Saccharomyces cerevisiae S288C: one gene and its partners. The protein of the gene in region 4 purifies or fractionates together with the protein of the main gene of each other region. This does not show direct contact. Each region holds a gene or a part of one and is shown on either strand. Other genes may lie near its edges. The genes, in order: TAF1, TAF6, TAF4 and TAF13.

The links.
Region 1: the proteins of TAF13 (region 4) and TAF1 purify together in Saccharomyces cerevisiae (affinity purification with mass spectrometry; 10 studies listed by BioGRID, with this or other methods). This does not show direct contact.
Region 2: the proteins of TAF13 (region 4) and TAF6 purify together in Saccharomyces cerevisiae (affinity purification with mass spectrometry; 7 studies listed by BioGRID, with this or other methods). This does not show direct contact.
Region 3: the proteins of TAF13 (region 4) and TAF4 purify together in Saccharomyces cerevisiae (affinity purification with mass spectrometry; 7 studies listed by BioGRID, with this or other methods). This does not show direct contact.

The regions. Positions count from the first base shown.
Region 1 is NC_001139.9:1,035,151-1,045,051, forward strand, and holds TAF1 (histone acetyltransferase), read right to left. Parts: upstream 7,946-9,901; coding exon 4,745-7,945; downstream 1-4,744. Other genes in the region: SLH1 (RNA helicase), read left to right, coding at 1-2,544; EFG1 (Efg1p), read right to left, coding at 2,650-3,351; YGR273C (uncharacterized protein), read right to left, coding at 3,565-4,089; RTT102 (Rtt102p), read left to right, coding at 8,126-8,599; RNH70 (Rnh70p), read right to left, coding at 8,669-9,901. UniProt on the Saccharomyces cerevisiae protein: Functions as a component of the DNA-binding general transcription factor complex TFIID. Binding of TFIID to a promoter (with or without TATA element) is the initial step in pre-initiation complex (PIC) formation.
Region 2 is NC_001139.9:296,001-303,803, reverse strand, and holds TAF6 (TATA-binding protein-associated factor TAF6), read left to right. Parts: upstream 1-4,075; coding exon 4,076-5,626; downstream 5,627-7,803. Other genes in the region: YGL108C (uncharacterized protein), read left to right, coding at 1-155; CUE3 (Cue3p), read left to right, coding at 393-2,267; ribosome biosynthesis protein NSA1, read right to left, coding at 2,435-3,826; SLD3 (Sld3p), read right to left, coding at 5,866-7,803.
Region 3 is NC_001145.3:273,836-281,486, reverse strand, and holds TAF4 (Taf4p), read right to left. Parts: upstream 5,443-7,651; coding exon 4,276-5,442; downstream 1-4,275. Other genes in the region: PLB1 (lysophospholipase), read left to right, coding at 1-897; YMR007W (uncharacterized protein), read right to left, coding at 1,147-1,527; PLB2 (lysophospholipase), read left to right, coding at 1,806-3,926; MVP1 (Mvp1p), read right to left, coding at 5,935-7,470. UniProt on the Saccharomyces cerevisiae protein: Functions as a component of the DNA-binding general transcription factor complex TFIID. Binding of TFIID to a promoter (with or without TATA element) is the initial step in pre-initiation complex (PIC) formation.
Region 4 is NC_001145.3:74,255-78,270, reverse strand, and holds TAF13 (Taf13p), read right to left. Parts: upstream 1,005-4,016; coding exon 501-1,004; downstream 1-500. Other genes in the region: ARG81 (Arg81p), read left to right, coding at 1,231-3,873. UniProt on the Saccharomyces cerevisiae protein: Functions as a component of the DNA-binding general transcription factor complex TFIID. Binding of TFIID to a promoter (with or without TATA element) is the initial step in pre-initiation complex (PIC) formation.

The DNA of each region.
Region 1 (9,901 bases), on a different chromosome or scaffold from region 4:
CTACCTACATCAGCCCTCCAGAATCCTTTAATTGAGTCAATTTATCCTTTCAAGTATTTCAATCCCATGCAAACTATGACATTTTATACACTTTACAATACCAATGAGAATGCGTTTGTTGGCTCGCCTACAGGTTCTGGTAAAACGATTGTGGCTGAATTGGCTATATGGCATGCCTTCAAAACATTTCCTGGGAAAAAGATTGTTTATATCGCACCAATGAAAGCATTAGTACGTGAAAGGGTTGATGACTGGAGAAAGAAAATAACACCAGTGACCGGAGATAAAGTTGTAGAGTTAACCGGTGATTCTTTGCCAGATCCTAAAGATGTGCATGATGCCACCATTGTTATTACAACTCCAGAAAAGTTTGATGGTATTTCCCGTAATTGGCAAACTCGTAAGTTTGTTCAAGATGTATCTTTAATTATCATGGATGAAATTCATTTGTTGGCTAGTGATCGTGGTCCTATCTTAGAAATGATTGTTAGTCGTATGAATTATATTTCCTCTCAAACCAAGCAACCGGTCAGACTGCTAGGTATGTCAACTGCTGTTTCAAACGCCTACGACATGGCTGGCTGGTTGGGAGTTAAGGACCACGGACTGTATAACTTCCCGTCAAGCGTCCGTCCGGTTCCATTGAAAATGTACATTGATGGATTTCCAGATAATTTGGCATTCTGTCCTCTGATGAAAACAATGAACAAACCTGTGTTTATGGCCATTAAACAACATTCACCTGATAAACCAGCATTAATATTTGTTGCATCGCGTAGACAAACTAGACTAACGGCTTTAGACTTGATCCACTTATGTGGAATGGAAGATAATCCACGTAGGTTTTTGAATATAGACGATGAGGAGGAACTGCAATATTACTTATCACAGGTCACTGACGACACTTTAAAGTTATCACTCCAGTTCGGTATTGGATTGCATCATGCAGGTCTAGTGCAAAAAGATCGTTCTATTTCTCATCAGTTGTTTCAAAAAAACAAAATTCAGATTCTGATCGCTACATCAACCCTAGCGTGGGGTGTCAATTTGCCAGCTCACTTGGTTATCATCAAAGGTACACAATTTTTTGATGCAAAAATTGAAGGATATAGAGATATGGATTTAACAGATATCTTGCAAATGATGGGGAGAGCTGGTAGACCGGCTTATGACACTACAGGTACTGCTATCGTTTATACAAAAGAGTCCAAAAAAATGTTTTATAAACATTTCCTAAACGTTGGTTTTCCTGTCGAGTCCTCCTTGCACAAGGTATTAGATGATCATTTAGGTGCAGAAATAACGTCAGGTAGCATAACTAATAAGCAAGAAGCGTTAGATTTTTTGAGTTGGACATTTTTGTTTCGTAGAGCGCATCATAACCCGACATATTATGGCATTGAAGATGATACAAGTACAGCAGGAGTCAGTGAACATTTGAGTTCTTTGATAGATAGCACATTAGAAAATCTGCGAGAATCACAATGTGTTTTATTACATGGAGATGATATTGTTGCTACGCCATTCTTAAGTATATCCTCATACTACTATATTTCACATTTAACGATACGCCAATTATTGAAACAGATACATGATCATGCGACTTTTCAAGAGGTATTACGATGGTTATCGTTGGCTGTTGAGTATAATGAATTGCCTGTAAGAGGTGGTGAAATTATCATGAATGAAGAAATGTCGCAGCAATCGAGGTACTCCGTTGAAAGCACTTTTACCGATGAATTCGAATTACCGATGTGGGATCCACATGTAAAAACATTTTTATTACTTCAAGCTCATTTAAGCCGTGTAGATTTACCGATTGCAGATTATATCCAGGATACCGTATCAGTTTTGGATCAATCTCTACGTATTCTACAGGCTTATATTGATGTCGCCAGTGAATTGGGTTACTTTCATACGGTATTGACCATGATAAAGATGATGCAATGCATAAAGCAAGGGTATTGGTATGAAGACGATCCTGTTAGTGTACTTCCAGGATTACAACTGAGAAGAATCAAAGATTACACTTTTAGCGAGCAGGGGTTCATTGAAATGACGCCGCAGCAAAAGAAGAAAAAGCTGTTAACCTTGGAGGAAATAGGAAGGTTTGGATATAAGAAATTATTAAATGTTTTTGATCAACTAACTTTTGGAATGACAGAAAGCGAAGATACGAAAAAACGTTTCGTCAGTGTCTGCCAAAGATTACCGGTTTTAGAAGGCATGAAATTTGAAGAACAGGAAAATAACGAGGTGTTAACATTTTATAGCAAGCACCTTTCTAGTAAGCATAATAATGGGTTTGAAGTATATTGTGATAAATTCCCTAAGATACAAAAAGAACTATGGTTTTTAATTGGACACAAAGGCGATGAACTGCTGATGATTAAAAGGTGTCAACCAAAACAAATGAATAAAGAGGTCATAATACATTGTGATCTATTTATTCCCGAAGAAATTCGTGGCGAAGAATTGCAATTTTCCCTTATTAATGACGCTTTAGGATTACGTTATGATATGGTCCATAAACTAATCTCTTAGTGAGACACAATTAAAACAACAATTATTTTGTGAAAGATAACAGTGGAAATCTATCTAGTATACATCTTCGTATATATTTTCTTACATAACGCATTTAGAATTTTTTTACTCAAAAAAGTCATCCTTTTCATCTTCTCCCACAACTTGATCCAATTCTTTTCTATCCTGTGTAGGTGATACTTGTGATCCATCCTCATGATCTTTATCAGGTGATAATGTTAATCCGATGGAATCTTCATCCAATTTCTTTCCCTTCAATATCTCTTCGAAAGATACGTTTAAGGTGTTCGCATCCATTCTTTCAGCTACTAATTTAAGAAATTGTTCTCTTCTAAGATTTGTCAATTCTACGCCCTTTGGGTCTGTAGATGGTGTATCATTCGGATATAGTGCAATATACTTTTCAGTTTTGGGAAAATTTATCACGTAACATAATTCAATTTTAGTGGCTCTCAACTTTTGTTGTAAATCTTTATCATCTGCGCCAGATTCTTTTATTTTCTTCAATAATCTGTTATATTTTCTCAATGCTTTTTTTTTTTCAAAGAATCTCACCATATGATATTTTTTAGCGTTGGCTTTAATCTTATTCTTGAGTTCATTATTCTGCAATTCCAACCGTAAAGCTTGCAAATTTCTTTCCTTTTCTATTATTACTGTGGATGGAAGTATATCTTTCTTCTTTTTTAATAACCTCTCTAAATCTCTTATTCTTCTTTTAATTTTGTTTGTTCCTGCATCCATTATCTGGGACATCTCTAGAGATGACCCAAGAGCCTTGCTTCTCTTCCTCTGTAATTTAGCCATTGATTGATTAGGTTTATTGAATGATATAAGTAAAATAACTAAGTCACGATATTTGTTTTATGTATTGTTTAATTGTAGAGATGAGATGAGTATGAAAATTTTTTTGAATGTGTTTTTCTTAGTGCTCCGGCATAGGGTACCGCAGAAATTAAAGGAATACATATTTTTGAGCTTCAAGCACTTTTTATAATCTTAGCGTACTTATCTTTATATTCATCTGCAGAGTAACCGAGAAAGCCGTGATATGTGTCTTTTCTCCTTTTTTTTTTGGCTTTCCATAACTTTTTCTTCCAGTTGAGATAAATTTATTGAAGCCTGTGAGTCTTGATTAATGACGGCAAATCCAGGTCTAGGTTTAAATCCCAACTTAGATGTTTCTAGCTCTTGCAACCAGCGGGGATCTTTTGTTATGGAGTATTCAAATCCACGTATTGTATCCAATGGCCTTTCATTTCTTGCTCTTGTAGGATTTGAAATATCAGGTGTTTTTATATTCCTACCAAATGTATCCTTCATGGATTTCAAATTTCCATCTTTATCGTAAATAACATAACCATTGCAAGTTGAGTTTTCTGTTAACGGATGTATCTTCTGTAAGTTAGAGAAAGTGGCTTCTTCAAAAGGCTGGGCTTCTTGAACAGCCTCGAGGATTGGAGCGGCCAAAGAAGAAGAGCGTAATTTAATTCTTGATGTATCATCATCCTTTTCTATCTTATCTGAACTTTCGAAATGTTGCATTTTTTGATAAACTATGATTTTAGAGCACTTCAGATATTACTTTAGGAAACTTTTGCTTTAATATTCTTAACATTATAAAATTGACGACAGCATCACACTTTTGAGTGCGTCACAAATGCATATAAATGAAAAAAGGTAACTTAGTTGAGGAAAAAATAGACACAAATTAAAATTTTGATATAATTATAGTAATAAAACTACATAAATCATATTATATTTATCAAGACAAACAGGTTACTATAGGGAAAAAGATTAAATTTTGAGTAAGAATTTGCTTTTGTAAAGGAAAAGAGCAACCAGTATGAAAAATGCATATTAGGGAACCTTTTCTGCTATTGTCCTTTATGTTTTAACCTCTGTGATTTCCAATCAGACTGGAAAAATACAAGCTTTAAATACTCGAGCACAAAGACAACAATTATTGTGTTTAATCAGTGAGTTGGGCTATATTAATGGAACTCAAATAATATGCACTTTTCATCTTACTGCAAAAGTGCACATTCACACACCACGTCCATCGTTTAAGGATATGACTCAATAAATTATCAATCTGATCACTGCCAGTGTTTAGAAACATAGTGTACATTTCTTTATTGTTACATTATACAAAACCTTTACAAAAGTTTTATTCGATCAATACATCGTTATACTGAATCTACTTTGGTGAAGCAGGGTTATCTTTACTGCTATACATTGGACAAGATTTATTTGTTCTAATGTGCCCGATTTGTCCGCATGTAGCACATCTCCTTGTAGTGTTCTTACCTTTATTCCTGGCTGCTTTCCCGTCAGTTACACCGGCAAGGTCGCTACCATTATCCACAGAGTTTTCTGTTCTCGTGGCACCACCATTTCTCTTCGAATTTTGCCTTGCTGCTCTACGTTGCTGTGATTTTTCCAAATTAGCTAATTCTAGTTGCAACAGTTTTTTCTGTTTCTCAAGTTCTTCCAAGTTATTTATCTTTGAAGTGTCCTCCTCTAACAATTTGTTAACATCTTCTTTATCCTGTTCTTTGATTTTTATATATCCTTGAATGACCCTAGGATCTCTTATGAAAATTGTCTGCCTTTGAATTATACCATTTTCATCTCTTTTCTTTCTAACAATCTTCAGAATTTTCTTATCATCTCTATCCGTCTTAACATGCTTGTTGGTCTGATTAATCTCATCAGGATTGGTCATTTCCTCAAAAGGATTGCTTATGCTCAACGATTTTGTATGTGTATACCAGGTCTTCGCAATTTCTTCGTCGTAAGCTTTTTGCTGTTGAGCCACATTGTAGCTATGCGTGTTAGTGCCTTTTTTGTTTGAACTATTGTTATTACTGGAAGGAGAACCAGACTTAACAAAACCACCTTTCATTGAAGTTTTCAAGAAAGAAAAACCTTCACCACAGCCCGTTGGGTCACCAACACCATGTATTTGTATCATAGCTCGCATTTGTGTTGAATTAATAAAATTTTTTGTAATGTTCCATGGTAACAAGTTTTCTTCTAGAGATTTTAGCTTAGAATCAAAATTATATGCTTCATTATCTTCTTGGAATTGTAAGCCCTGACTCATTGATTCAACTTGGCTGATCTGCTCTGGCGTAATTAAACTTTTCACTGCTTCATTGTCTAACAATTTTTCATCATCTTTAAGCCTCCACAGACCTTTTTCAGGACCATCTCTTTGATATTTCATGAACTCCTTCACTTTTTGTCTGTTTTGTCCATAATCTTGGTCGGGAAAGTGCTTTGCAATGGGATCAATAGAAATTGCCTTGCTGTGATTATGGTTTAGAATTCTATAAATAATCATTTTCAGTCTTGTAGCTTTCATTGATGTCACCTTTCTTGAATTAGGTCCGGGAATCTCCTCGACAGGAAAAGTTTGTCCAACCGTAAAAAGATGGTTAATATTACGTAAGTAAAATCGATTGCTTATACCAAATCCGGAACTTTTTGTCAGAAGAAAATCTGTTCCTGATATATCATGTTTGAAAACGGGTGCTCTAATCATGTTATTGTATAATGTGGGGACGATATGACCAGGTTCAACAAATCCAAAGTTCCAAAATGGTGATTTGTCTTGAACTCCCAAAACGTGAGTTTCGCCAACAGGCAATTTGGGCCTTAGAGTATCTTGTTCATTGGCTTTCCGATAATAATTAATTAATTTATTGGCCATACCAAATTTAGACAAAGCTACCGGTGTTTGTTCAGAATATTCCATTAAATAAACAGGAGCAGTATCCCCGATGGTTAGATCTTGAGATGTAGAAAATGATTCTTTGACATCTTTACCTTTATCTCTTTTCCTTTTACGCGCTTTTAACTTACTGAAGACAATTTTAGTACCTGGTCTGATGTGCGAACCAAAGTTTTCACGGTGGAAATGCCTCAACTGGTATCTAGGAACAGCCACTTTGTAAAATGGAGATTGTAAATTAATCGCAGGTTGAGAATGCTGAATATTTAAGTTCGAGATGGTAGAACGAACTTTTGTTTGATGGGTTTTTTTCAAGATTTGATATTTATCATCATTAGATAAATTGAATTTTTGTTGCAAAATAGTTTCGTTGAGGGGCAATATCAAGTTACTACTATCCAGTTGTTGCTTTTGCTGCGCTAAATTATTTGTTTTCTCAATCATCAGCAACAGTTTTTCGTCATTCATATTTAATTCAGCATGTTTAGACTCTTTCAATTTTGCATCAATGATCATGTCTTCATCCCACTGCCAATCTTCAGCAACATCCTCAATCAAGCTCTTCAATTTATAACCGCCGGAGAACTTTAAGTTGGGTGTCATAGACGAATCCGCCAAGGTTGCTGTTGATGAAGTACCTTGGTTGATGATTTTTTCTTGGTCCCAATCATCAGTGGCAATAAGCAAGTCTTCCGATATGGTCTTTTCATCATGAATAATCTTTCTTTTTTTTTGTTGCTCTTTGATAGGGAAAAGTTCATCAATGGAAACATGAATTAAACCTCTTCGGGATGCAGAAGAGTTACTTTGAAGTAAATTGTTTTTCCCTTGATAAATCGGAGCGACGTAAGATATTGTCCTTGAGTTGAATAGCCTCTTATCATCCTGTTGAACCTTGAATTTCAAATTTAAAGGCATAAACGGTTTCTTTACCCTAGATATTTCACTGTGCCAATGATAAGGAACAGATCTTCTATAAATCAGCTTGTTCCATTTTAAAATTTTACCCTTTTCAAAATCAGGAAAGTATTTTTTTAGAAGATACTTCTCATGGTTTATCAAGTCTAATTTGGTGGCTTTCTTATGCTTGCCATCTGACATATCTGGTTCCATGATAAATCCACCATTTATCGACATATCATTTCCATTAACGCCACCAATGGAAAGTTGAGAATGCCCAATTTCATTTGCGCCACTACCATCAAGAACTCCAGTTTCAGTGGCGAGATGAATTTCATTTGCATCCATTCCCATAAACAAAGCATTGCTAGTTGCGGGAGTACCCCCATCATCCTCCAAAATAAACTGTTGAGACAAATCACCATTAATTTCAGGCAGTTGCATATTCAAACTATTTGAGTCGATACCGAGTACGGCACCGTTCTCGTTTACATCATCATACGCGCCCATAGTCATCATAGCTGGATGCAAATTAGCATCAGATTCTTCTGGCAAATCGTCATCGTCATCAGCAAGTTCATCTTCATCTTCAAAATCTACAGCATCCGGCAAATGCTCCGTATAGTCCTTTGAATTGGCACCTTCATCCCCGCCAATGTATGACCCGATTTCTAAAGAGCCAAACTCTCCGCCAAAAATAGCTTCATATGCTTCATCTTCGTTGGCCAAGTTGGTCTTGCCGGATCCCTGCTGCTTTACCATATCGCCTTATACTCCTGTTGTACTTCTTTTTCTCTCTGTGTTTAAAATGCTATTTATTCTCTTAAAAGCACATTTGAAAACCATCGCCGCGAAATGAAATTATCGACTAGTTTATTAATGAACAAGGCGATAAAACCTAATGTTGGAAAGAAAGAGCTACGTCAGCAAGAGATAGAGAAAATGGACCCACAGACGCTCATTACTAAGGCCAATAAGGTTTCTTACTATGGCAACCCTACGAGTAAGGAATCATGGAGGTATGATTGGTACCAACCATCTAAGGTGAGCTCCAATGTGCAGCAACCACAACAACAGCTAGGGGACATGGAGAATAACTTGGAGAAATATCCATTCAGGTATAAAACATGGTTGAGGAACCAGGAAGATGAGAAAAATCTACAGAGGGAGAGCTGTGAGGATATATTAGATTTGAAAGAATTTGATAGAAGAATACTGAAAAAGTCGTTGATGACATCGCACACTAAGGGTGATACAAGTAAGGCCACCGGTGCTCCTTCTGCTAATCAAGGAGATGAAGCTCTTAGTGTGGATGATATAAGAGGCGCTGTCGGTAATAGTGAAGCCATTCCTGGGTTATCTGCGGGAGTGAACAATGATAATACAAAGGAGAGTAAAGATGTGAAAATGAATTAAAAGGAAAAGTATTATGCATATATATATATATATATATATATATATATTTATATATTTATACACATAGAATTATTTTACAGTAAAGGATGCTACACCACCCCGGGCTAACTTTATGGCTTCTACTATTTCAGGTTCCCTTTCGCGTCTTTTATCTAATCTTTCCTTTTTGTCTTGAATAAACTCTAACTCAGTTGAAAGATTGTTCCATGGTCTTGTGTCGCCTGTACCCGACATGATCAAAATCATAGTACCTGGTGTAGCATTCTCGTATAATTGTGTTAGATGTTGCCCTATATCATGAAGAACCATGGACGCATCGAACGAAGGAGTTTCCTTCCGTGGCTTTTTATTATAGTTGCGTGACCTCTCTAAGTTCTTGATTCTCCCCACAATAAGTTTGACATCTTTATTTAGATTCTCGTGAATATGGGTCCATGTCTCATCATCTTCGACGCAACGGATTAACTGGCCCTTAGAATCGTCCTCAGTATGATTTTTAATAATCATATCGTTGAGAAGAACGGTTTTCACTTCAAAACGATGTAATTTGGTGAACAAGTTCTCCGTATTGATACCTATCCCAAATGCTAACCCATTTAAGATTTTTAATTTCGTCAATTCAAGACAAGCCCTTGCATCTTCGACAGAATCGTGTTCTCCGTTTTGAATGCTTTTATTCAGAAAGGTTTCGCTCAAGTATTTTAAACTTGGCTTGAAAGGATCGCCAGCTTTATGATGGTATATAATAGCTGTATCCACGACCAATGGATGTTTCAATTTCATGACTTTCAAATCATTCTGTAGCGAATGTCCTATCAAAATATCTGAACGACTTATTATCTTTAGTAAATCTTTTTGTACTTCTCGCAATGTTTTCTTGGCACCAACAGTTAGTTTCTCTTCAGTTATACCACTGTAACGTGTCAAATAGTCCACTATGGGGACATCAGGTTTCACCAACTCTTCATAGATAACTTCATTGTCAAAATTCACTAGAGAAATCCTAGTTAGAACTAAACCTTGTTCGGAAAGACACATTTCACAGTCTAGTGCAAAGATGTGGGAGCCACCATGGGTAAAGTCAACAGTTTGTACCCAGTCTGTATCAAAATTGGTGTCTCCAGAATCCAGTGGGTAATCGTTTGCCACTAACTGTTGTTCGGATAGAACCAAATCGTTAATAGTAATTTTCTTCTTCTTTTGTAACTCTTTCAATTTATTTATTTTCTCCATTTTGGACAATCCAACATTAATAAATGAATTGTAGGGCGAAAAGAGCGTCATCTTGGAACCAGGTGCCAT
Region 2 (7,803 bases), on a different chromosome or scaffold from region 4:
AGAAGAGATTTCAAGAGACGAATGAAAAGTACAATAAGGGCGAGTTAGGCAAAAAGCTAGCTCAAGAGCGTGCCAAGTCTCATAAGACTCGCTTAATGGAAGAGGCCGAGAAAAAGCATGCTGAGAGGGAAAGGGAAAACATGATTTATGACTGAGAGAACGACGGCAGTAATATTGTAATGAATCAATATATGCAATTGTACAAGAATTTTTTTGTTGGCCTTCCATTCTCCTCTTGGCTTTGTAACGTTTATATACCTGAATATCTGCCAATGGATTTTGCGCGGCCATAGAAAAAATGAAAATATAAAACACTAGTTCTCATAAATGAGAGACATTCGAGTTAACTATTGAATCTTGGAAATTTTTATAGGATAGAATCACTAAGAATAATGTTATCAAGGTACAACCGCGTTATTGAAATAAATGGGGGTAATGCAGATATTTCTCTGCCCATTGTCAAATTTCCACCGTTTAAACTCAGAGCTCAATTAATTGAAAAGGACCCCGTAGTATGGCTGCATCTAATAGAAACCTATGTAACGTATTTTGAGTATTTGATGCAAGGTGCTAACGTTGAATTATTAGATGAATCTACACTTGATCATCTTCGTTTATTTTTGAGAACTTACTTGCATGAAATTGCTGATGAGGAAGGAAAGTTATTAAGTCTCGGTATCAACCATGATGTGTCTGAACAGTTATATTTACTAAAAGGCTGGATATTTTCATTGATCAAGAAATGCGGGTTATTACATCTTCAGATTTTTGGTGACTCCCTGTGGAATTTGATCAAAGTATATGTTAGACGTAATCCAGATTCTATTCGTGGTTTGATCGATGGCTCATTGAAACCACGGATCAACACGCAACGTGTACAATTGGACAAATCGTACCAAGTTCAACAGCATTTGAAGCAGTTAATAGAATCTGGAAAATTTAAAAGAATAGATTTAAGGTGCGTTGAAGATCTGCTGTCTGCCAAATCCATGCAGCCAAATAAGTTTGCGGAGAACTTCTTTACGGCAAATTGGATTGAAATTTTAGAGGCATTATGGGCAAAGGGACAGGGCCGGGGTCATAAAGAGGCTAGAGAATTGATCATTATCAGTTTATTTTCTGTTTCTGCTGATCGTTTACTAAAAATAACTAAAGAATTAGGCATAAGCAATTTTGAAACTTTGGCGTTATATCCTCTTTTAGGAACAATGCTCATAAATGAAGGAGTCCACAAAAGGCTTCCTGATTTGAAGAGCAAGTTACTATTTCTGAATTTAGGGGGGTTGTCAATGGACGAAGGAGACCATATGAGCTATCCAACATCATCAGGTACTGAAGTTAATGAAGAACAACTGTCCGCGTTGATGGAATTGTTCCCCCAGTTTTCTAAATATCAATTATCTCAAACGTTGCTTGCCTATGATAATAACATTGAATTAGTAACGAATAAAATATTTGAGGATCCTACCATTATCGAAGCATTCTCCAGAGAACCTGCGGAGGAAGAAGTAGAGCCGGTGTCAGATGGTGATAATGCATCCTTTACTGAAGAACTGAGTATATTGGATAGAGGAGATAGCTCAAAAAATAAAGAGCTAGACAAAAAGATTATCTCGGAGGGTGTTCCGGATGAATTAAGAAATAAAACTTTGACAAGAGCATTGAAACTTTTATACGAGGCTGATGAAGATGAAAGGGATGACACTTATGATGAAGCCGATGTGAACCGGTCCGATCCTTCGAAAAGAATTGGACTTCAAGAAGACGAAGAAAGCTATGATACAAAAGATGATTCTAATGAAGTGCGACAAGATCATAACTATCATATTGTTGAAGCTTACTTGTGGAATCTATTGAAAGAGGATCCGAAATTATTTGAGAGATCAAAAAGAGGTACAAAAGTCAGGAAAACTATGAAAGAAATGACTTCATGGTCGGATGAAAAAATCGAAGGTTGGTGTCGGATGTTAGAAAGATCTCCTACCCGAGCAAGACTTTTAGAAAAGAAGTTTATGTTCAAAGGAAATAGCAAAACAGGGAAAACGTCTTATGTTCATAATCGTGATAGCCAAAATGATGGAAATGTCGTCAAAGAACAAGCCAAACAAAAAAAATCTGAAAATATTAAGAAACATGAACCTCAATCTACTGAACAGAAGAAAAGACAGCATGCTAAGAATGAAAAAAGGAAAGGGGCTAGAGCTAACCATAACCGTAAGAAGGGGCACGATAAAAAATTGGCTCGTGCGGGAAATAACGCTATTTGATAAAATGCATCAGCATACAAGATAGACAAGCGTATGTAAGTTTACTAGACGGTATACAATTATGTAACGTATTATAAGTTATTCAGCGTCGCGTTCAGGAAGTGCTTTTTTTAATAATTTTTCCCGCCGACTAGTAAAACTTTGCCTTCAATTAGCGTCCTTTACTATTAAATTTTGCTTTTCTTACTGGCTTTAGAAGCAGCTACCTTTCCCTCCAATTTATTCCAAAGCTCATCTGCGTCTTCTTCAAGTTCTGTAACCTTCCTTTTTTGCTTCCCTTTGGCAGCTTTCGCACTTGGACTTAGTGGCATCTCGATTTCAACGTCATCCAGCATAACAATAAAATTTATACGGGACCCAACATAAACCTTCACCAGCATTTTGTTAGTTTTTATATCGAAGATCCGAACATACCTATCTAAACCACCTTGTAAAAGATATTTGCCGTCATGTACATGAATATAGGTTGACGAACCAGTGATATCATCTCTACCCACCTTGCCCAACATTCTTCCATTACCATCGAATTTAAAAACATTCTTTTTGTAGTCAGTAGTAATCACATTCAGTTCATTAAAGGTTTCAGATTGAAAATTCCCCAACGAAGAGACAACATTTTCTCCCTTGGCATCAAAAACTTCCATCTGAGATAATGGTTCACGGTTAGGTAATAAATCTATCTGAGCGAACGGTTTTCTGCCATGTTGTGTGCTGTATTTGGTGAGGTGGGACCAACGGGTTATGGCTGCAAACTGGTAGTTCAGCTTACCCTTTTCAGTTTTACCAGGGGAGGGCTCCAAAAATCTTAGGGCCATGGGCCATACTGGGACTCTCATATCCAACCTGTCGTTTTTAACATTCTTGGCTTCCCAAATTTGCTTTAAAGATTGGAAACTCGAATCTATTTCCACTAATTTTATTAAATTCTCCTCCCCTCCGTATGCAAATATATATTTATCAGTATCGGTATCTTCTAGATCATATAACTGAAGAAATTCTACTGGTGCTTTCAGTCCAAGGGATGCTAGTTTTATTAACTTTTTATCTTCTCCTTTTTTTATAATATGTAATAATCCCGATTTGGTAGCAGCTACGAATGTGTTATTCGACGAATCCTTTTTTATGGGACATAATGTGACAAAACCATCCACCAACTTGGTTCTTTTAACAGATTTACTTGAAAGTGATTCCAATTTGGCATCATCAAAAAGGTCTGAAACTGAGCTGGTTATCTCAAACTCGGATATGTCAAATTTGGGTAGATCATCGGAAAGGCTCTTTTCATTTTTGCTTTCTCCTTTGGGATCGACCTGGAGAGCTTCATTTTCTTTAAGGTGTTTCGAAATCTTTACAAGTTCGACGACCCCTGAATTCCTTGCTAAGATGGCTTCATCTTCGGATATCACCCACATCCTGTCAACGTAAGCTTTCAATCCTTCGGCTAGATGAGGTGCCACATGAAAAGGCTGCAGTGCTGATTGTACGGAAGTGTCAGTCCCGATGTTACACAAAACTTCCTTTATGGATCCACTATCCACACAGCTGACTAGTAACCTCATTTTACGATCGAAGCTGGGCCTATTTATGGTTAAATTTTCTCTGTATTATGTTCATTGAAGTGAGGCTTCGAGATTGGGCATCGCTTTACAAAATTTTTCAGCTTTATTTTATTACCAAAAAAATACCCGGAAACCATCAATAACAAACACCGATTCAAGTAGCAGCAAAAGTAGTTCATGAGCGAAAACAATAGATTGGCTTTAAAAAGGAAGCAAAGGACGCCTCAGTGTAGTTGATAGCCTGTTAAAATGTCTACACAGCAGCAATCTTACACAATTTGGTCTCCACAAGATACTGTTAAAGATGTCGCTGAGTCGCTTGGGTTGGAAAATATCAACGATGACGTGTTGAAAGCACTTGCTATGGACGTTGAATACCGTATTCTAGAGATTATTGAACAGGCAGTCAAGTTTAAAAGACACTCTAAAAGAGATGTTTTAACTACAGACGATGTATCGAAGGCCCTGCGTGTTCTGAATGTGGAACCTTTATATGGATATTATGATGGCTCTGAAGTTAATAAAGCTGTATCATTTAGTAAGGTTAACACAAGTGGAGGACAGTCGGTTTACTACCTGGATGAGGAAGAAGTAGATTTTGATAGATTAATAAATGAGCCATTACCGCAAGTGCCTCGTCTACCAACTTTTACTACACATTGGCTAGCAGTTGAAGGGGTTCAACCTGCCATAATCCAAAATCCAAATTTGAATGATATAAGGGTATCCCAACCACCATTTATTAGAGGTGCTATTGTCACTGCTTTGAATGATAACAGCCTCCAAACACCTGTAACGTCGACGACAGCAAGTGCTTCTGTGACGGATACAGGCGCCTCTCAACACCTGTCTAATGTTAAACCAGGACAGAATACTGAAGTCAAACCTTTAGTGAAACACGTTTTATCCAAAGAATTACAGATTTATTTCAATAAGGTCATTTCAACCTTGACAGCGAAGAGTCAAGCTGATGAAGCTGCACAGCATATGAAACAAGCAGCTTTGACTTCACTACGAACTGATAGTGGCCTGCACCAACTGGTTCCATATTTTATTCAATTTATTGCCGAACAAATCACACAAAATCTTTCCGATTTACAATTGCTAACAACAATTTTGGAAATGATTTACTCTTTACTAAGCAATACTTCTATTTTCCTGGACCCTTATATTCATTCGTTAATGCCTTCCATTTTAACCTTGCTATTAGCAAAAAAACTTGGTGGATCACCAAAAGATGATTCGCCGCAAGAAATTCATGAATTTTTAGAAAGAACGAATGCACTACGTGATTTTGCCGCATCTTTGTTGGACTATGTATTGAAAAAATTTCCTCAAGCATACAAATCCCTGAAGCCAAGAGTAACTAGGACACTGCTAAAGACATTTTTGGACATAAACCGTGTTTTTGGGACTTACTATGGGTGCTTAAAGGGTGTATCGGTACTAGAAGGTGAATCCATCAGATTCTTCTTAGGAAACCTAAATAATTGGGCGCGCTTGGTATTCAATGAAAGCGGAATAACTCTAGACAATATAGAGGAACATTTGAACGATGACTCCAATCCAACTAGGACCAAATTTACTAAAGAAGAAACTCAAATCTTGGTTGATACTGTAATTAGTGCATTGTTAGTTCTAAAAAAGGATTTACCAGATTTGTACGAGGGTAAAGGTGAAAAAGTTACGGATGAGGATAAGGAAAAATTGCTAGAGAGGTGTGGTGTCACTATTGGATTTCACATTTTGAAAAGAGACGACGCAAAAGAATTAATTAGTGCGATATTTTTTGGCGAATAGTGAGAATCGGTTTATACTAATAGTACAACGGTAATGTTATATAACAGTTTTTACATACGCCATTGTATGTATATATATATATATGCATGATGAGTTATTTAATTGTATACTCAAAGGCCCCCGAAGTGCGAAATTGTTGTAGCTTAGTTTTATTTTATTCCCTTTTCGTCCAAGAAAAGCTACAAAGATGGAGTTGGGTCAACTACTTGCCAGCGAAGGTGGTCTCGCAGTTTCTTATTCTATGTGGATTCTGGAGCAAATAAACGTCTTCTTACTCTCCTTTTTGAGCTATTTTCCGGGGGCTTATTAGTGGGAGTAGAGGTAATATTGGAGGTATTTTTTCTGCCTTCATGCGTATCATCATCCTTGAAATTTAGCGGCGATTCAATGATGCTTTGAAGTTGCGCCTTTTTATTAGGTGTCACAGTTCTTTTTTTCACAGCAGGAGTGGCTTGAACTTGTACGTTTTCCTCAGAGTCTACACGTTCATGTAGGCGTATCGTTTCATTGATATCTTTACGTTTCCCAACTCTGCGAAAAGAGTTATTCATAGTTTTGTATGCATTAATAGTTGAGTGCGAGAAAGGCGTTTTGAGTGTGATAGTTGATGAATTCGGTACTCTTGTTGTGCTTAAGTCAGAGACAGAAAACTGCCGTTTTTGTAAATGATTCATCGTTAGATCAGACTTCGTCCTTCCCAATTGTGAAGGGCGCTTTAAGCTTCTAGTTTCACTTTCGAGAAATTCATTCAAGTTAGAGTTCGTTCTAGAATTCAAAAGTTCAGGGGTGGGCGAAGCTATAGATTTTCTGCTGAACAAATTAGCGTCCACCCTTCTCAATGCGGGTGAAGATGGGACGGAATTAATGATTGAAGAGCGAGAGGCACGTTGACTCGTGGATAACCTGTTATACGTTTCTACAGTATTAGGTGACGATACATTTGTGCTATCGTTGACCTTTTTCAGGGCTCTCTTTGGTCTCATGCTTGGTCCCTTGAGCTTTTGAATTATAAATTCAACGGCGTGTGGTACCTTTTTGTTGAAATATGGAATAAGAACATAATTTATGAACCCAACCAATGAGGCTTCTTTGCTTTTGTCTAGGATATTTTTTTTATGCTCTTGTATTGTTCCATTTGATGCTTCTATGGCATCTGGGTTGGGCGTTTCACTTGATAGTAGAATGTCCAAGATGCATGCTCTATCTAAGTACAAGTCTAACTGTTCACAATAATCCAAAGATGTTGTTATTCTCTCGATTCCTTTGTCTTTTTCGCTGGTTTTTTTCTTCGATCTTCGACGAACTAATCCCTTTTTTGTCAAATTAAGTGATCTTTTCTTCAATTTTAATTTATACTTTTTCTCAAAATCTCTAAAATTCCAATCTAAATCGTTCAATCCTATTATCTCTAATAGCAATAATATTTGTAGCTTTATTTCGCGGGATTTTAATACAACACATAAATCAGCAATGGTTGAGCTGTTTTTGTTTTCATCTTGGATAACAAATTTTGTGAGACAGTTCTTCCTTTTTTCATCTGCTATGGGACTAGAAAAGGGCTCTAATAAAAGCCTGTTATCATGTCTATCTTTGAATTGTACAATTGAGAGAAGAAATTTTTGCAGCATGGCTTGATAGGCTATTTTGTAACTGTCACTTCCGTACTTGGTTCGGCAGGTATTTTTGAGCCTTACTAAATTTGACTTGACGAAATATGCGAGAGGCGTATGTATGGAAAAAAGAGCATCATAATACTTACTTTCTATGTACTCTTTAGGGTCTGAATAGTAGTCATTAATTTTTGATTCGCCTTTCATATCTGGGGGATTCATATCCAGTTTAAGGTCTTTGTCCTTCTCAAGCTTACACGAGCCCTTGGGTTCTTCTGACCATAAATGAAGAAGCTCTTTAAATTTCAATTCGTCCCATGTTTTTAACGTTTCACGCTTAGCTCTTTCTCTTTCAACTGTCGTTACAACTTCCGTACGCCTTTCTGGTAAGCTGTAACCATTGAAATAATTGTACGGCCACTTAACCCAAAATCCTGGCCCATATTCCTCTAGTAGAAAATACTCTTTTCTTGATTTCATGCAGATGTGTTTCAATTGACGTCGATTCTTCTGTTGCAGTAATTGGAGAATGTTACTGGGCACGTCCTCGGATTTAATAATAAGTGG
Region 3 (7,651 bases), 200 kb from region 4:
AATAGTGACGATATTGCAATTTACGCCCCAAATCCATTCAAGGAAGCTAATTTTCTTCAAAAGAACGCAACCTCCAGTATTATCGAATCAGAATATCTATTTTTGGTTGATGGTGGTGAAGATAACCAAAATATTCCTTTAGTTCCATTGTTGCAAAAGGAACGTGAACTAGATGTTATTTTTGCATTAGACAATTCTGCTGATACTGACGACTATTGGCCAGATGGTGCTTCATTAGTTAACACTTATCAGCGTCAATTTGGCAGCCAAGGTCTCAATTTGTCTTTCCCATATGTTCCAGATGTGAACACATTTGTCAACTTGGGGTTGAACAAAAAGCCAACCTTTTTTGGTTGTGATGCAAGAAATTTGACAGACTTGGAGTACATTCCACCATTAATTGTTTACATTCCAAATTCAAGACATTCATTTAATGGTAACCAAAGTACTTTTAAGATGTCATACTCCGATTCAGAACGTCTTGGTATGATTAAGAATGGGTTTGAAGCTGCCACAATGGGTAATTTTACTGATGATTCTGATTTCTTGGGCTGTGTTGGTTGCGCCATTATCAGACGTAAGCAACAAAACTTGAATGCTACATTGCCCTCTGAATGCAGCCAGTGTTTTACCAACTACTGCTGGAACGGTACTATTGACAGCAGGTCAGTCTCAGGTGTAGGAAATGATGATTATTCTTCTTCTGCTTCCTTGTCTGCCTCCGCCGCTGCTGCCTCTGCCTCTGCCTCTGCCTCTGCTTCCGCCTCTGCCTCTGCTTCTGGGTCTTCCACTCATAAGAAAAATGCGGGCAATGCTTTGGTGAATTATTCTAACTTAAACACTAACACTTTTATTGGTGTCTTAAGTGTCATTAGTGCCGTCTTCGGTCTAATTTAGGCTCTTTCTTCGTTTCTATTTCTTTTCTAAAAGAATACGAGAGTGAGAAAAGCGCAAAAATATCAACATACAAATAGTTTACGAGATCTCAAGTGCATACCGCATCTTATTTTTACAAACTCGAAATCTTACGAGCATTAACATTTACATACCGGGTGTCTTCCCTACATATATCTATCTATACAGATATGTTCATGCAGTACTTTCATCGAAGATATATAGATAGGTTTAAAGTGCAGAAGGAAAAAGCTAGGATTGCAGATATGCCATCTGCAGGCCAAATTTCACTTCCACATATCTGCACTGTTCATGAAAATGATCAGTTTCTTTCTTTCTTGCAGCTTTAGATAATCTGGTTTTTCTGCTTTTACACCTTAGAGATGAATCAAAGACACTCAATTCGGTTATACGACAAAGGGCGAACACAATGATGATTCTCACGACTAAATTAAGGACATACTTTTCAATGGTGATGCCTATAGAGAATTTACCGTCGCACCCAATGCAGCCGGTCTGGCCAAACTGGGAAATAAGGTTTTTCTTGGCTCGTATACGCCTTCGAAAAGCTCCTACAAAGGGACGCGTCGCCTTTTTCAACAATTTTTTACCTTGCGGACATTTCTTCCGCATATTCTCCACCTTGGCATTGTTTACCAACAGAAGAAAGTGAAAAAAAAATCAAAAAAAAGGTAAAAAAAGGACAAAGAGTTAAATAGTCTGAGAATCTTCTTCTTTTCGTATCTCATGTGGAGTAGAATATACCTTATATATGAGCACAATTAGTTATCTTTACAAGGCGTTAGAAATGTCTTTTAGCTTGTTTTTCCTTAGTGTGCCTTCAAATCTTATCAAGGGTTAGAAGTGAGTTAAAATTCACTCGCGCTGGTAAAGTAACACTTCTTACGCAGATGCAATTACGGAACATATTACAGGCTAGCTCGCTAATTTCTGGACTTTCGCTCGCTGCAGATTCGTCGTCCACTACTGGTGATGGTTATGCTCCATCAATAATTCCTTGTCCCAGTGATGATACCTCTTTAGTTAGAAACGCGTCTGGCTTATCTACCGCTGAAACTGATTGGTTAAAGAAAAGAGATGCGTACACTAAAGAAGCTTTACATTCCTTCTTAAGCAGAGCTACTTCTAACTTCAGTGACACTTCTTTGCTATCCACTCTTTTCAGTAGTAACTCTTCCAATGTACCCAAAATTGGTATTGCATGCTCTGGTGGTGGTTATCGTGCCATGTTGGGTGGTGCTGGTATGATTGCTGCTATGGACAATCGTACTGATGGTGCTAACGAGCATGGTCTTGGTGGTTTACTACAAAGTTCCACGTATCTATCGGGTTTGTCCGGTGGTAACTGGTTGACTGGTACTTTGGCATGGAACAATTGGACCTCTGTACAGGAAATTGTAGACCATATGAGTGAGAGCGATTCCATCTGGAATATCACGAAATCCATTGTGAACCCTGGTGGCTCTAATTTGACCTACACAATTGAAAGATGGGAGTCCATTGTACAAGAAGTGCAGGCTAAGTCTGATGCAGGCTTCAATATATCTTTGTCGGATTTGTGGGCCCGTGCACTTTCTTACAACTTCTTTCCAAGCTTGCCAGATGCTGGCTCCGCTTTGACTTGGTCCTCTTTGAGAGATGTTGATGTGTTCAAAAACGGTGAAATGCCTTTACCAATTACTGTTGCAGATGGTAGATACCCAGGTACCACCGTGATAAACTTGAATGCCACTCTTTTCGAGTTCACTCCATTTGAAATGGGTTCTTGGGATCCTTCTTTGAACGCTTTTACGGATGTGAAATATCTAGGTACCAACGTTACAAATGGTAAACCGGTCAACAAGGATCAATGCGTTTCTGGTTACGATAATGCTGGATTTGTAATTGCCACATCCGCCAGTTTATTCAACGAATTTTCCCTGGAAGCTTCCACTTCGACCTATTATAAAATGATTAATAGTTTTGCCAACAAGTACGTTAACAACCTATCCCAAGATGACGATGATATTGCAATTTACGCTGCAAATCCATTCAAGGATACAGAATTTGTTGACCGCAATTACACTTCCAGTATTGTTGATGCCGATGATTTGTTTTTAGTTGATGGTGGTGAGGACGGCCAAAATTTGCCGTTGGTTCCACTAATCAAGAAGGAACGTGACTTGGATGTGGTGTTCGCATTGGATATATCCGACAATACTGATGAATCATGGCCAAGTGGTGTGTGCATGACGAACACTTATGAGCGCCAGTATTCTAAGCAAGGTAAAGGAATGGCTTTCCCATATGTTCCAGACGTTAACACCTTCCTTAACTTGGGCTTAACTAATAAGCCAACGTTTTTTGGTTGTGATGCAAAAAATTTGACGGACTTGGAGTATATTCCACCTTTAGTTGTATATATCCCAAACACAAAACATTCATTCAATGGTAACCAAAGTACTTTGAAGATGAACTACAATGTTACAGAACGTCTTGGAATGATCAGAAATGGTTTTGAAGCTGCTACAATGGGCAACTTTACGGATGACTCTAACTTTTTAGGTTGCATAGGTTGTGCCATCATTAGACGTAAGCAAGAAAGCCTAAATGCCACCTTGCCCCCTGAATGTACCAAATGTTTTGCGGATTACTGCTGGAACGGCACACTAAGTACCTCAGCTAATCCTGAACTATCGGGAAATAGTACGTATCAAAGCGGTGCTATTGCCTCTGCAATCTCTGAGGCTACTGACGGTATTCCAATAACGGCTCTCTTAGGTTCATCAACCTCCGGAAATACTACATCAAACTCAACAACCTCGACTTCATCAAATGTCACTTCTAACTCAAACTCTTCGTCAAATACAACTTTAAACTCAAATTCTTCATCCTCTTCAATTTCTTCCTCTACAGCTCGTTCTTCTTCCTCTACGGCAAACAAAGCGAATGCTGCGGCTATTTCCTATGCGAACACTAATACTCTAATGAGTTTGTTAGGTGCCATAACAGCATTATTTGGACTAATTTAGAAGCCCTTCTGAGAAACAATACATAATACATCCTTTCACCCAAAAGGATAATGACAAGTAAATGTATAAAAATGTGTATTAATATGAAAATTTTTTTCCCGATTATCACTCCTCTTTCCGCTATTTTTGGTAGAAGGATGCCTAACTTCAAGGATTGATATATCTTCCTTATTATAAAGTTAAAATGAACAAAGCAAAAAGGTTGAATGGTCCTCAATAGCTTGGCGATGACTTGACTAAGCGACACCAACCGGCCTTCTTTATGTTAGTCAATCTTGTTTTTTTTATATCCTAGTTTATTTGAAACACTATACCTTTAAATATTATAGACAGTATAAGAGATGAGCAATTAATCTCTGATCTTGGCATAACCCTTTGAAATAATAGTCTGAACGCTGTTGCGCCTATTTTCGAGAGCAAAGAGTAAATCCCTCATTACTATACCAGGCTCCTCTCTAGCTTCTCTAAACTTTAGCCCACTTTCTCCTCTAGCCGTGATGTCGGAGGCGACTTTGCCTGAAGATTTTGCTCCCAAGGACGTCGGCTTATTTACTGATGAAGTTAGCCAACCATACTGTTTTTTACTACCTGCTCTAAGGCCAGCCGTAACGTTCGATGCTCTGTGTAACGTCTCTTCGGAATCAATCTTATTTTCATAATCTTCCTTCTCGAGTCCCAACGCAATTCTTTTTTTCACACGCCTTTCTTCTTCTTTTTTTTGAATTAGTGCAATGGCTCTTAAAGCCGCAGAAACTTCACTTCTTCTACCAGAATTTATCTTGACTGCTTTTCTTCTATGTCGGGAGATGACAATGGCATTTGTTAGGATATCTCTCATATAGTTTTCGCAGGCACTTGACATCATGTCCAAAATTTCAGGATTCTTTGTAGGGGTCAGGTTGAAGTTTTGCTCTTTTCCGACTTTCCTCATATAATTGGAAACTTGTTCCGGGTGAAGGAATGGTAAATGGTTGGGGATCTTAACGTTATTTGTTTGAACTTGGGATTTTGAGGCATTAATAGATGAATTTAGAAGAGCCTCCTCCTCCCTAACATCGATACCTGCGGAAAAAAGGACATCTTGCATTTTATTTGGGTCTGATTGTTGTTGTGCATTCTGTCCTGAGGAGTTGGATGCTTTGCCATCTTTAGAATCTGCTTTACTCGTACCCTTGTTTTTTTTTTTATCATCCTTTTTTGGTAGAGCTAGTCCAGCAGGGCTAGAGAACATATTGTTTGTATCTCCATTACTTTCAACTCTCAAATTAGTTGTGGGTGATACATTTTTAGGAAGAACAGAATCATCCGTATTACCTGCCGCATCATTGTGAGTTGAAGATACATGTGCGGTTGATTTTATCTGGCTAGGCGACGGAAGGCTATGTGATAGCTCACTAGCTTTACCTGGTGACAAATTAAATGCTGGTTTCGTTTCTGGGACGGTATGTTGATATTTAGGCGTGTCTGACGCTGATACTCCAGTGCCATCAGATGGCTTTTTCGGCGAATTTGCCATTATGTGATATGATGCCGAAAGACAATATGTGCACTACCAATCGATAAAAGCACTTTAGATTACGTGCAGGTGAGGTTATACAGAATGCTGATTAGAAAAACTTTCCCATTTGAGCTATTACACGGACCACATTCGACTTATCGATGTTCAGTTCATTCACTTTTTCAAATTAAGATCATTTATGACGAATATTGAATACTGGAGAATACACATTTTTAGCGGGCGTCGTTTGTCCGGCATATTATAAGGCTATCTAATCCAAATTATCGAAAGATTTGTTACCTTCTAATAAATATGGGAACCTATAATATCCGAATTAGGCTTCATACACTGTATTTAAAATTGAAAAACAAATAAATAACAATTTATAGTGGTACATATCTTTACTCTATTTACCTAATTATTTCTCTGTTTAGTACGTCAATTACATCTGTTGGATATCCTTCAATAATGTTTTGGCAGACTAAGTGGTTAGTCTTCACTCCGTAAAATTTATTCACGAGAAATCGGCATATCCATGATGCTTGTGACGAGCTTTTCCCACTCATTCAGTTTGAGACCGGCATGGTTGGAGTTCAATTTTGCCCAATCCTGGAAGGCACGTGTTATTAAAAATTGGGTTTCCTGAAAGATTGTAAACTCTTCCAAAATACATTGTCTTATCAACCAAGCTCTGTTTGATTGCTCTATTATGCTTCTTCTATCCTTCTGTATGATTTTTTTTATCCTGTCGTACTCTGCTCCACTGACATCTGGTTTTCCTTTCATCGATTCCAATTTCTCTTTGTTCAATTCGACATGTCTTTGCAATTCAACTACGTTATTTGCAGCCATAATTTTGTATCTCTCAAATAAACTTCTCAAAGAAAGTAAGATGTCCGTGAAAATTTTGAATTTTGGCGATAACGTTCCCGATATTTCTTCTGTTTCTTGTTTGCAGATACTACTCGTAGTTTCTAGGTGTTTTTTAATTATACTCAAATTGTTATTAATGTCCAATATGGTATCATTTTGTTGTACCGGATATAGTTTTGGAGTCACTTCGCTAAAGTTATCCACTAGTGTCTCAAAAAAATTTCTTTCGTGTACCATTTGCATAATTCTTTTTTCATGCCTTTCCAAGAGAAGCGTGATTCTATACCATAATTCCATCGAGGTATCGATACAAGATGCAGCCTGGTTCCATTGTTCTGCAAACTCTTTTTTCCACATTTTCATAAATTCTTGTGATATCTTTTTATCAGCGAATTCGTTTGAAGTGTCATAGGTTGCTTGCTTTCTCCAACTTGTTAAGTCAGTGCGTACGGTTAAAAATGTTAACACTAAATCATCATTACTTAATTTAGGGTGTTTCATTACCAAATTAATGAATCTAGATAACCCTATTCTTCTTTTCTTCAAAAAAAGCTGGTCTGCGTTTTGGGATCCAATTCTTTTGGGAGGTAGCTCAGGGATCATTCTAAAAGGGTATCTTTTCAGCAGAATTTCTCTTAACCATAAGAAATCAGAGTATCTTCTTACGACAGTACGTTCTTCAGAAGGCGAGGTACTTGGAAGAGCAATGAGATGTTTCACTAAATAGTTTGCGTGCTTGAAAAGTAAACCCTCTCTTTCAGGTATCTCTTCAATGATGATGATGTCGGCATCTAGAGGTCTGTATGTTTTTCTAACGTTGTTAGTCCAATCAAGTAAGTCGGCTTCAGATTCTTCTATATTCTGATCTCTAGCATCATTCTTATCTATAACTGTCTCATTGGCCGCTATATTGGGAGTTTGGCTCATGCCAGTTGCACCAAGAGGATTTCTACTATCATCCCAGATACTTTCTTCAAGCACATCGTTGGTCGGTAAAAAACCAGTATCCTCCTCATTTGTGTCCAGAGGTGTTGAAAAGTTCAAGGTGTTAAACTCACCAGAGATTCCGTTGAGGCTGGGTTCACTATTGGTGGTAGAAACGACGTGATCATCATCCTTAGTCCATGCATTAGAACTGGTATTCCAAGGATCACTGCCTTCGTAATTGTCCATTACTTTTTTTTTCGCCTCAGTGGTGTTTTATAGAATCCAAATTCGATTGCTTTTACTATTATTTCTCTTACAACTTGGGTGAAAAGAAGTGGCGTTCACCCTGTTTTCATTGTACCTTCCTTCCTCACTTTTTTTTCTGGCATGTGTTTCGTAAAAGCGCCTACCTTAACCGAAAATGACG
Region 4 (4,016 bases):
GTAAAAATAACTTACCGCAGGAGACATTTTTTACTGATAACGATCGCTTCTAAAACTCGTTAGTACAGGCTCGTTGTGACTTAGAATCAAATAATAGATGGGTTAGGAGGCGCACGTACCTTCCTAAGCACAGAAGGGAGCTTAAGTTGCTGTTTCAGGCGGTGACTTAACAATACATCTTAACTATCCAATGCTGACAGCTGAGTATTGCAACACAACTATCAGAGGGAGGAGTTTGCCGTTACTAATGTAGCAGGGTTTTTGAATCTAAAAGAATAAATGTACCAGTTGAATCCTAAGATTTTACTTGGAAAAATATATAAATAAGAAAACAATGCATTCAAAATTGTGCCATTGTAATGACAAGTGTTTTTGTTCAGCACCAACGCAAACTCAAAACCCCTTTTATAGAGCAAACGCCTAATTAATAAATCAAAGGGACATATGTACTACGTATATCTGAATCAAGCCTACGTAAACGGGCCTGCCAAGTAGCTATATCATTTTTTTGTTTTCTTGAGGTTTTTAGGCCCCTGCTTCCTAATCTTTGTTGCCTTCGAATCTGTTGATTGTTTAGCGCTATTACGGCCCGCTGCTTCCTCATCATCATCCGTCACCTGCTGCTCATCCTCATCCTCTTCCATCTCGTCACCCTCTTCATCCTCTTCTCTGTACCTCTTTAATGAATTTTGATTGTCTGTCTCATTGAACTGCTTCTTAGCTTCCGTAATCAACTTATTAGTAGCTATCAGTTCTTCTGCTCTCCCAAGCTTTATCGGGTCTTTACGGAGGGCAAACTTGAAATCTTCCAATCGGAGCTTATTGCGCTGAGAATTCTGGGCTGTATGGAATGCGTTAGTACAAACATCCACCAAATATCCAGATACCAATTCATCCAAACACTGCACAGTAGCTTGTAGTGGCTGCGGCACATCGCCGTAAGCGTAAAGCAAGGAACTTACATCCTTGTTAAACAGATTCGTTTTTTTCAGCTTCCTAGACATATCTTATCCAGCTCACCCTCGCCTGCCGTTACCTTTTGGATTTCATGTTGCAGTTGTTGATGAACCTTCTTTGTTATCAATGACTCTTCGCCTGCGGTTTCCGCTAGAACTCAAAAATAAATGAAAAAAAAATACACCTTGCGAAAAGCATCTCTTTTAGATTTGATGCTTTAGTGGGCAATAGTTACCGATATCAGTACCTCGAAAATTTTAAGTTGCAGATATAATGGGAATTTCCAGCAAGAATGGCCCTAAAAAAATGGGAAGGGCAAAGACGTTTACTGGGTGTTGGACGTGCAGAGGAAGAAAAGTTAAGTGTGATCTTCGGCATCCCCACTGCCAACGATGTGAAAAGTCTAATTTGCCTTGTGGCGGTTATGATATCAAACTCCGGTGGTCTAAGCCTATGCAATTTGACCCGTACGGTGTCCCAATCCCACAAAATTCTCCTGCAACTACTACGAACTTATCAGGTAGTGTCGATGAACCACAATACCAACGACGGAACATCGATTTTGTGCGCTATGATGAAGAATACGTGTATCATGAAGATATGGATGATGAGCTAACAATGCTGCATACTCCCCCAATTGAGAAAATAAGCGATAACAAGACGTGGATCATAAAGAAATTTGGGGTGTTTAAAGGAACAGATAAGATCGACAAGCAGTACGCTCCAAGGAAGAAGCGCAATAGGAAAAGAGTTGCCAAAAGCTTGGAGAGCTCAGCTTCTATTTCGTTATCTTCTTTACCATCTTCTTCAACTATTTCCTTTCCAATTAGACATATTGAAGACAAGTTGAGAAATAAAGGGCATGTAAAGACAGGTATTCTCTCTGCTAATGATGGTGTTCCACCAACACCAAATCTTTTAGATTATGACTGGAACAATCTGAATATAACAGGTTACGAATGGATCTCGAGTGAACTCAGAGATGATGCATTATTGTCAGCGGTGACCTTACAGGGACATCACTTAGGACACACACAGCCACAAGAAATCTCATTAGAGGAAAACTCTAATGTCGTGAGTGGGGAAGAGCATGTGAATGCCAAAGAACATGGATGTGCCTTTGAGGCTGATAATCAAGGTTCATCAACTTTACCTAATAAAGCAGCCAGTGCCAATGATAAACTTTACCAGCAAAACTTGAAGTTACTCTTCCAGAAAAACTCTTCGAACAGTGAGGAACCAGACCCTCAAGCATTGATCGACGATGTGTTCGTCAATATTGAACCAAGATCTCTGCCCGCATCTGATCTGAATAAAATAACTCTAGCTCCTCCAAATGAAGAATCACGCATGCCTAAGTCCATGTTAGAACTCACATCCTATTCCAGTGACCTACCACCTGAATTGGTAGATATTATACCCAAAACAGACCTTACCGTACATGGTTTAGCGAGATTTCTTTTAAATCATTATTTTAATAATGTTGCAGATAAAATGACAGTGGTCGTGCTCGAAAAGAACCCATGGAAAACATTATACTTCCCCAGAGCCTTGATGGCATTAGGCGATTTAGCGGGTTTGGGACAATCCTCCAACTCGAGGAATGCGTTGTTGAATGCTCTTCTTGCTGTCTCTTGCTTCCACTTGCAAAGCAAGTACCCAAGGAACTACAAACTACAAAAATACTTTCTGGGCCTAGGTATCGAATTGAGAAATCAAGCCTCGAACTTTCTAAGATTATGTTTGAACACAAAATCAAGCATACCTGAGAAATATAAAGACGTACTAACTGCGATCTTATCTATGAACTCTATTGATGTTGTATGGGGGACGATGGCAGATTGCCAGGATCACTTGGCTCTTTGTGAAGACTTCGTTGAGTCAAGAATGAAACTAAGACCTAATATTTCTGAAAAGACAAAAACCTTACACAGGATTTTCTCGTTTCTGAAGTTAATTCAAGATAGCACTGCGTTGGATAAAGTCAGGGCAAAGGAAATTGTTATTTTACCAAGTGAAGAAGATGATAATTACAAACCATTAGATACATCTAACGCTACTACCAGTAGCAGTGAGCCAAGAGTTGACGTTGTGCAGGAAGGTTTATTTAGAGAGGCACTCAATGAAAATGACGGCAAAATACATATTGAATTCGTTAAGGAGCCTATCACAAACGTATCCGCTGACTCTACTCCATCTTCGACCACTCCTCCAATTTTTACCAACATAGCAACAGAAAGTTACTATAATAAATCTGATATATCTAAGCTAGTATCGAAGACTGATGAAAACATAATTGGTACAGATTCACTCTATGGATTGCCTAATTCATTAATATTACTATTTTCAGACTGTGTTAGGATAGTGAGACATAATGAATATTATAATTTAACTTACCTACCTGTACCCCGAAAATTTAATGAACTCTCGTTAAATTTCGAAAAAAGATTATTGAAATGGAAATCAGAATGGAACTTCCATCAAGAAAATTCGGAGGGAAAAAGCTTCATAAACTCAACGGCTGAAGCACTATATCACCATACAATGAGCTTTTATTTCAGTTTAATTATTTATTATTTTACAATGGCAAGAAGTTTAAATTGCCAATTTCTACAAAACTATGTTGCCAAAGTATTAGATCACTTAAATGCAATGGAAGAATTGGTGGATCAAAAAAAAGTGAAAATTGTCCCTTTAATTTGGCAAGGTTTCATGGCAGGATGTGCTTGCACAGATGAAAACAGACAGCAAGAGTTTAGAAGATGGGCAGCCAAATTAGCTGAAAGTGGAGTGGGCTCCTATTGGGGAGCCAGGCAAGTAATGTTGGAAGTTTGGAGGCGACGGAAAGAGGATGAGCCGGGCGATAATTGGTATTCTGTTTATAAAGATTGGGAAATGAATCTGATGCTATCATAAATATGTTATTTTTGGATTTTTCATGAATAGCCGGAGCCAGTAGCTGGAAGAGCTGTGTCTTGAAATAATTCTTTACAATACATATGCACATACCATAAAGTACAAATATATAAACGCCTTTAATTAGAATATTGGGCTTGAAG